2 linked regions of the Oreochromis niloticus genome follow. Each later gene encodes a partner of the first gene's protein in a complex. Links are inferred from orthologs where the notes say so. Each region holds a gene or a part of one and is shown in the gene's direction. Other genes may lie near its edges.

What was found. Proteins that work in one complex are often made in the same cells at the same time.
Region 2: gtf2e2 (region 1) and polr2j share a complex: the UniProt entries of both Homo sapiens proteins name them as parts of the TBP-based Pol II pre-initiation complex. The link is inferred for Oreochromis niloticus from reciprocal best matches to the Homo sapiens genes GTF2E2 and POLR2J.

The regions. Positions count from the first base shown.
Region 1 is NC_031971.2:23,287,223-23,290,976, reverse strand, and holds the start of gtf2e2 (transcription initiation factor IIE subunit beta), read left to right. Parts: upstream 1-1,488; 5' UTR 1,489-1,688; intron 1,689-1,954; exon of another isoform or gene 1,955-2,119; intron 2,120-2,242; 5' UTR 2,243-2,243; coding exon 2,244-2,403; intron 2,404-3,754. UniProt on the Homo sapiens protein: Recruits TFIIH to the initiation complex and stimulates the RNA polymerase II C-terminal domain kinase and DNA-dependent ATPase activities of TFIIH. Both TFIIH and TFIIE are required for promoter clearance by RNA polymerase.
Region 2 is NC_031970.2:1,176,634-1,180,105, forward strand, and holds polr2j (DNA-directed RNA polymerase II subunit RPB11-a), read left to right. Parts: upstream 1-1,136; 5' UTR 1,137-1,192; coding exon 1,193-1,335; intron 1,336-1,858; coding exon 1,859-1,967; intron 1,968-2,763; coding exon 2,764-2,865; 3' UTR 2,866-2,948; downstream 2,949-3,472. UniProt on the Homo sapiens protein: Core component of RNA polymerase II (Pol II), a DNA-dependent RNA polymerase which synthesizes mRNA precursors and many functional non-coding RNAs using the four ribonucleoside triphosphates as substrates.

The DNA.
Region 1 (3,754 bases):
TTTCCTCTTTTAAATTAATCCCTGAAAAACTAAAAGGCCACAGAATGTGTTTAAGCACAGCAGATGCCAAGATGTTTATCGCTACTGTTGTTATGTTTTGGGTAACATTTTCTCCATACTGAATTAAAGAATCGCGATCAGAATATTTCATTACCCCAGGTGGAAATGGTTTTGTTACAGACATTCACTTAAAGTGTTATATTAAATTAAAGTTAAATACTCCAAAGTTAAAACAATGAATCATACAGTATAGACAAGATATTACAAGTGTAAATAATACAGGTGTCATAAGGAGGTGCCCTAAAGTTTGATGGTCACAGGTAGGAATGACTTCCTGTGGTGTTCTGTGGTGCGTTATGGTTGAACCTGTTCCTGTGATTCCCCACGACAAGATGAAGATGGTACAAAGTCCAGTCTAATATTCACTGTAACTCAGAAAGGATCCTCCTTTCTAAAGCGTCTGTCACAGAGTCAGTTCTGGACCCACAATATCACTGGCCTTTTAAATCGGTTTATCGAGTCTGTTGTTATCTGCACCCCAGCACGCCACAGCACAGAGGATGGCACCGGCAATGAGGGGATCATAAAACATCCTCTGTAGCTTGTTTGTTTTGACATATATGTAATGCCATTAAAAGGTAGGCAGCGCTTTTCTTTCAGTTTGATGCTGTTTTTCTTACTAATTACTTGAGTCATTCACACTGAATAACGTATAAAGGCAGTATCTTAAGTATGAGAAGCAGGAGTTTAAAACAACCACTAAGTGGCGATGCTGAGCCAATAATCTCGTCCCAAAATAACAAGAAGTCCAATGATTTAAAATAAATAAATAAATAAATTACACAAAACACACTCAAAAACAAAGTAAAGTAATCATATCCTGTTTTGCTTTTTATTTTTTAATCAGAACTGAAGAACAGAAGAAGTAAAATAAAAGACTTTAATTTGTCTATGTAAAACAAAAAACTTATTTGTGACACATAAATTTAGATTTGGTGTATATTAGGCGATAGCATATTGGTTATATGAACCCAATTTACAAATAGACTAGCAGTTTTATATGAAAGTTTATTTAACTCCCATTTTTAATGAACTATCATGCAGTGGGATCTGTGAGCTAGAAATAATTATGTTGATATATATTTTTATGGCTTGTCCTGTTTAGCGTTTCAGTAGTTAATAAGAATATTGATGTGACAGTTAGTATAAATCCTGAGTAGTACTATAGTAAAATAGCATAAAGGTGAGACCAAACGTTTGCACAAACAAAAATTACTGCGTGATCTTTTTTCTTTTATATTTTTTCTTTTATAGTTTATTAAAAATGTGTAAATTGATGTGATTTTGTGGTGGATTAAAAAAGCCATTTAATAGAAGTTATATTTCGAAAATTTTTGTCATCAGTATTTTCTAATCGTGCTTTTATTCATCATAAATCATCGTTTTGTTGTACGTATGTAATGACGTCATGCAGGCTTCGCAGTCAATACCGGAAAAATCGAACTAGAAACGGAAGTGCAGCATGAGGAAAATTGTGTGTGAAGTTTACTTGTGTTGTCTCTGAAGGAACGACAAAAAAAACAGTGATTCGGTGGAGGGCGCATTCTGTTTTACATCTACAGCATATAGTTAGTCCTCTTGGACTAACCCTCTTCTTTCTCTGAGTGAGAACAGGAACAAAGTGTCAGGTAAAGTTGAATTAATCGGGATGCTAACGCTAGGTTAACTACCAAGCTTCTGGTACAGTGTTTCGCCACGTTTGTTTATGTATCTTGGTTTCCCCATAATACTCAGTAACGTTCGCTTCTGAACATAACCTTAGTTGTAGTTACTATGGAATTTACATGATCACAAAGTCAACTTAAACCCGTCTGTAATCGGATTTGAAAATAAACTAGCTATTGTTAGCTAGCTTTATATTTATGGTTCTGGGGCCAGTGACTGTTTTCCCTCTAACGCCATTTAATTCTGTATTTGGCTGTCTGACTTTTCAGCTTAGTTTTTCTTAATATATCAGTTATTTTGTTGGTATCAGGAAAAACCCGTTTCGTAATGGCTTATTACAAAAAGATAAAGCAGGTGACAGCTCTTAAGTCCCTGAAGCTAAAGGCCATCAAAGGTTCTTGCTACTTACACGTATACTTACATATATTAAGAATGTGATTCCTTGAATCCATCAAAATGAGCTTTGTTGCTTTGCCTTTTGTTAAATGAATCTTCATTTTTTACATCTTTCAAACAGGATGGATCCTGCTCTACTGAGAGAAAGGGAGCTTTTTAAGAAAAGGGCACTTTCCACCCCAACTGTAGAGAAGAGACAGGCTGCGTCAGACTCTGGATCACACAAAAAGAAGAAACCCAAAGTTGACAAGGAGAGCTCCTCTAGTTCCAAACTCAGTAGCGGTAGGTGAAGAATATTTTCTTGAAAAGGATGATGTTTAGTGCTGTAAACCACTTATTCTTGTTTATTAGTGTTTTAATGTCTCTTAATGTCAGTGCGCCCCAGGGTGGCTGTGGCTACAATGTAGCTTGCCATCACCAGTGCGTGAATGTGTGTGTGAATGGGTGGATGACTGGATGTGTAAAGCACTTTGGGGTCCTTAGGGACTAGTAAAAAGTGCTATACAAATACAGGCCATTTACTATTTAATGTCTCTATAGGTTCACATCACCACTAGCCTTTTCAGCTAGTGATGCTGAAAAGGCTAGCATCTGTAGATATATGTTGGCAAGTAGGAGATGCATCGACTGACTGGCCAGGGACTGGATTCTGCAGATTTCCAGTGCTTAGCCCCGGCCAGTGACTGGCCAGTCAGTCTCCCATATAACGGATTGTATAGCGGTGTAGGCAAATATTCACATGCACTCTCACAGCCTGACATGGTGTTAGTGTGGAAGCTTCTCATTGTGAGTGAAGAGACAAAGTTCACCAAAGTACACTGTAGGGCAGGGGTGGGCAACTCCAGGCCTCGAGGGCCGGTGTCCCTGCAGGTTTTAGATGTGTCCTTGAACCAACACAGCTGATTTAAATGGCTAAATTAGCTCCTCAACATGTCCTGAAGTTCTCCAGAGGCCTGGTAACGAACTCATCATGTGATTCAGGTGTGTTGACCTACGGTGAGATCTAAAAACTGCAGGACACCGGCCCTCGGGGCCTGGAATTGCCCACCCCTGCTGTAGGGGTACCAGCGAGAAAACCTTCATAAACAAGAAATCTAATTAGACATTTAAATATGAAAAGGGAATGTGGCTAACGCTAAAGTTTCACAAAGCTCAGAGCCAGACACAAATGAGCATCCTCAGTATGGCTTAAAGCAACTATGAGGGAAAATTATGGAGACGAGTGAATAAAAAAAAAAACTAAAAACGTTTTCTATTGATTATTTGAAGATCACCTTATTTTCTGTTGTTTCAGAAAATCCTGTAACTTAATACAGTTTGGGGAAAGAAACATTAATAATTTCTTTAATGGAAAACATATTTTTAAATGAAGAAAAGTAGATTTTTGTTTATCTGTGCCATTAATCACAGTTCTTAGAAAATCAGAATCTATTCGCAGCATAAGAGGCTTATTCTGTACAATATGATTGCTCATATTTGGACACCAAAACAATTTTCATAAAGACTTGATAGTAAATTGAGAATCCATGTGGTTAAAGTTGTGCATGTCAGTTTACTGTGATTCAACAAGATAACCAAGACACTGGAATAATACACTCTCCTGGTTGTTATTTCTAATAAGAAGGAACCTTAC
Region 2 (3,472 bases), on another chromosome or scaffold:
CCATTTCCTTACTGTGCGTTTCACAACTGGTTCTCTTTGTACTAGAGGTTTATACGCAGGCTGGAGATGAACCAGGTTGTGATCTGAGCCCCCCAGGGGAGGGAGAGGTGATGAGTTGTATGCCTCCTTGGTGTTGGCATACAATAAGTCCAATGTTTTATTGTCTCTGGTATGGCAGGTAACATACTGGATGAAGGTGGGGAGAGTGGAGGACAGGGAGATGTGATTAAAGTCCCCACAGATCAGGAAAAGGGCCTGAGGGTGCTGTGTTTGGAGTCTGCTGGTTACAGTGTGCAGGACCTCACAGGCTGCTCTTGAATACTGTTAGCTGTTCAATGGGCAGAAGACATGAAACCGTTAAAAGCAGTTATTTGTTCAGACTCAGGCTCGTCATTGGTCAGTTTACAGAGTAGCTGCTCAGAAAGCAGAGCACATGTCCTAGCAGAGATTCAGCAACACTTCACAGAATACACATGACGAGACTTACAGGTGTGTTTTTATGGATTCCAGCTCACTGTGAAGTCAGAGCAAATGAAATGGCAGATAGAGCTGCAAAGGAAGCCACAAAACATGGGGTAGTTGACCTGGGTATTAGCTTCTGTCAGACAGAGGTAAAGAGTATGGTAAGGCAAGAAACAAAAAAAAGATGGCAAAAACAGTGGGAGGAGGAAAAGAGGGGACGGTGGTTGGATAAAATCCAAAGGAGGGTAGGAGAAATGAGGAGCACAGAAAGGAGTAGGAAAGAGGAGGTGGCCATATCGAGAATAAGATTAGAACATACTGGTTTGAACACTACACTAGTCATGATAGGGAAACATAATACAGGGAATTGTGACGACTGTGGAGAAGAGGAAACGATAGAACATGTTATATTAGACTGTCAGAAGTATCAGGTGGAGAGAAGACAACTGACCCAAAACCTCAGCAATATGAAAATGAAACTAGTTCTTATTGATTTTCTGCAAAAGGACTCGAGAAGTGAAAGTTATCAGGCCTTATCCCAGTTTTTAAAAGAGAGTAAATTGCTTGGGAGCATTTGAGGGGTTTGGGGGGTTTTTTGAGCGACGTTCCAGTCCCCACTCCACACCAGTTGGAGGCGGTAATGCACCATTCAGTTGTTTGCCAACCGCCAATAAACCCTATACAGAAGAAGAAGAAGAAGAAGCAGCCGCAGCAGCAGTGAACAGGTAAGATGAACGCGCCTCCCGCTTTCGAGTCGTTCCTGCTGTTCGAAGGGGAGAAAAAGATCAGCATCAGCAAGGACACCAAAGTCCCGAACGCCTGCCTGTTCACCCTGAACAAGGAGGACCACACGCTGGGCAACATCATCCGAGCGTAAGGCCCCGAGACACGGCCGCAAAGGCATCACACCGCTACATCCAGGCTAACAACAGGCTAACCTCAGGCTAACAACAGCCCGCTAAAGTCATCCGAGCGTAAGGGTCCCAGACCCGGCTTCACAGCTGGCTAAGTTGAGGCTAACAGCCACACAAATGCTGAGCAGCGGCTCAGAGATAGATGCTAACACGCAGCCTGCAGGTGTTTCAATCTTACAGGTAGCGTAGGAGGTGTTTTACAGAAAACCAGAACATAGTCTTGGAATATTTGATCTCTACTTGCTTTTTGTTTTTTAATAAATCATGACATGCTGCTGATGGGAAACAGGTCTTAGTGTAAGCCACCACAGGTGGCTGTCCCAGTGCCTGATCATAAAATCAGCAAAGTTAATGAACTGATCCTCAAATATTCTTCCGTCAGACTGTCATGTGAGCTGCACACACACCATTCACACTAAACTGCTCATCCTTACAGTCTGTCCACCAATCAAATGACTTTCTCTGTGTGTGTGTGTGGTCAGTCAGCTGCTGAAGGACCCTCAGGTTCTGTTTGCTGGTTATAAAGTTCCTCATCCTCTGGAGCACAAGATCGTCATCAGAGTGCAGACCACACCTGACTACAGCCCACAGGTAACACGCACACACCTGTGGGATATTCCAGGAAGTATGTTCATCAGACTCTGAGTTTCCTGTTCCAGAAGGGTGATCAGTTAGTTCATTCAGCTCTGAGTGTGTTCCCACTGAGTTATGTGCATGCGTACCTATTACAGACGTCTCAGCTTCTACAGGATCAGGATATTTCAGGATAGTTTTGGAAGAATGACACATTTTAAATCAGGAATAGAGATCAGAGCAGAGCTGCAAACGGATCCAGACGGGATCAGCTGGGAAATGACCGAGCAGACCTGGATCTGGGATTGAGCCGATCTGAATCCGTGATCGAAAATCCATTTTGGATCCGTCCTGCCGTGCAAGTGGACTCGGTTTGCTGATCCGTCATGGAGCCCATGTTCTGGCTGATCTGGTTCTGGGTCGACCCGCAGAGGCTGATTCAGGTGATGTTCAGTGGAAAATCTGCCCAGGCTGTTTGACTTTAAATGACCGAACCTCAATCTGATTACATTTCAATGTGAAATGTAATCAGATTACAATCAGACTGTCTGCAGTGACTTTAAACACATTTAGTTCAGCTTTAGTTTTAAAGCCATCTCAGCCTGAACGTCACTCAAATAAGATCCATTTATCCATCAGAGTGATTGATTATAATAAGAGTGTTACCATGGTAACTGACCTTCTGGAACAGAAAACCCAAGTTTCCCTCATCTCAGGGTTAAACTAAACCTGTTTCCTGGAACACACTTCTGATTACAGCTCTTAGTTACAGGAAGTGAAATTAAATGACAGGAAATGATGTTGTTCCTGACAGGAAGCGTTCACGAACGCTATCACTGACCTGATCAGCGAGCTGTCACTGCTGGAGGAACGCTTCAGAGTCGCCATCAAAGACAAACAGGAAGGCATAGAGTGACCCCGCCCCATCGTGATGTCACTTCCAGTTACCTGTCCTCTGTTTGTCTTCTGTTTTTTTTAAATAAAGCCTGTGATGCCATATCCTGATGAGTGTGTGTGACATACCTGTAGCTCAGGCGGTGGCTGCTTGCAGCTGATTGAAGTTTAAAGTGCTGGTCAACATTTTCCTGTGTTTGTTTTAACAGATCATTAGACAGAACTTAGCACAAATTATTTGTTTGCAAACAATAATAGAGAGAAGAAATACTCTGATCATTATCACCCTTACAAAAACAGCTTTTTCTTCATCTACATCACAAACCTGCTGTGCAGTGACCTGATTACCTCAAAGCTTAAAGCTCCGGTTCAGTTTTTTTCATATATAAGTATATTTAGTTAGGAAAATGAAGAAAGGTTAATTGTATTTCGGTAAGTGCAAGTACTGTGTTGTTTTCTTTTTATTAATAAAAATATTTGCCAAAAAAAAAAAGCTCCTGTTCATACTGAGTTTACCAGTTTATAATTTATATTTGCGTTCCAGTTATGAAAATGATTCATTAAATATGTTTTCATAGAAAAAGTCCAACTCTTCCCACTTGGGTTTTATTTATTTACTTTTTAGGTCA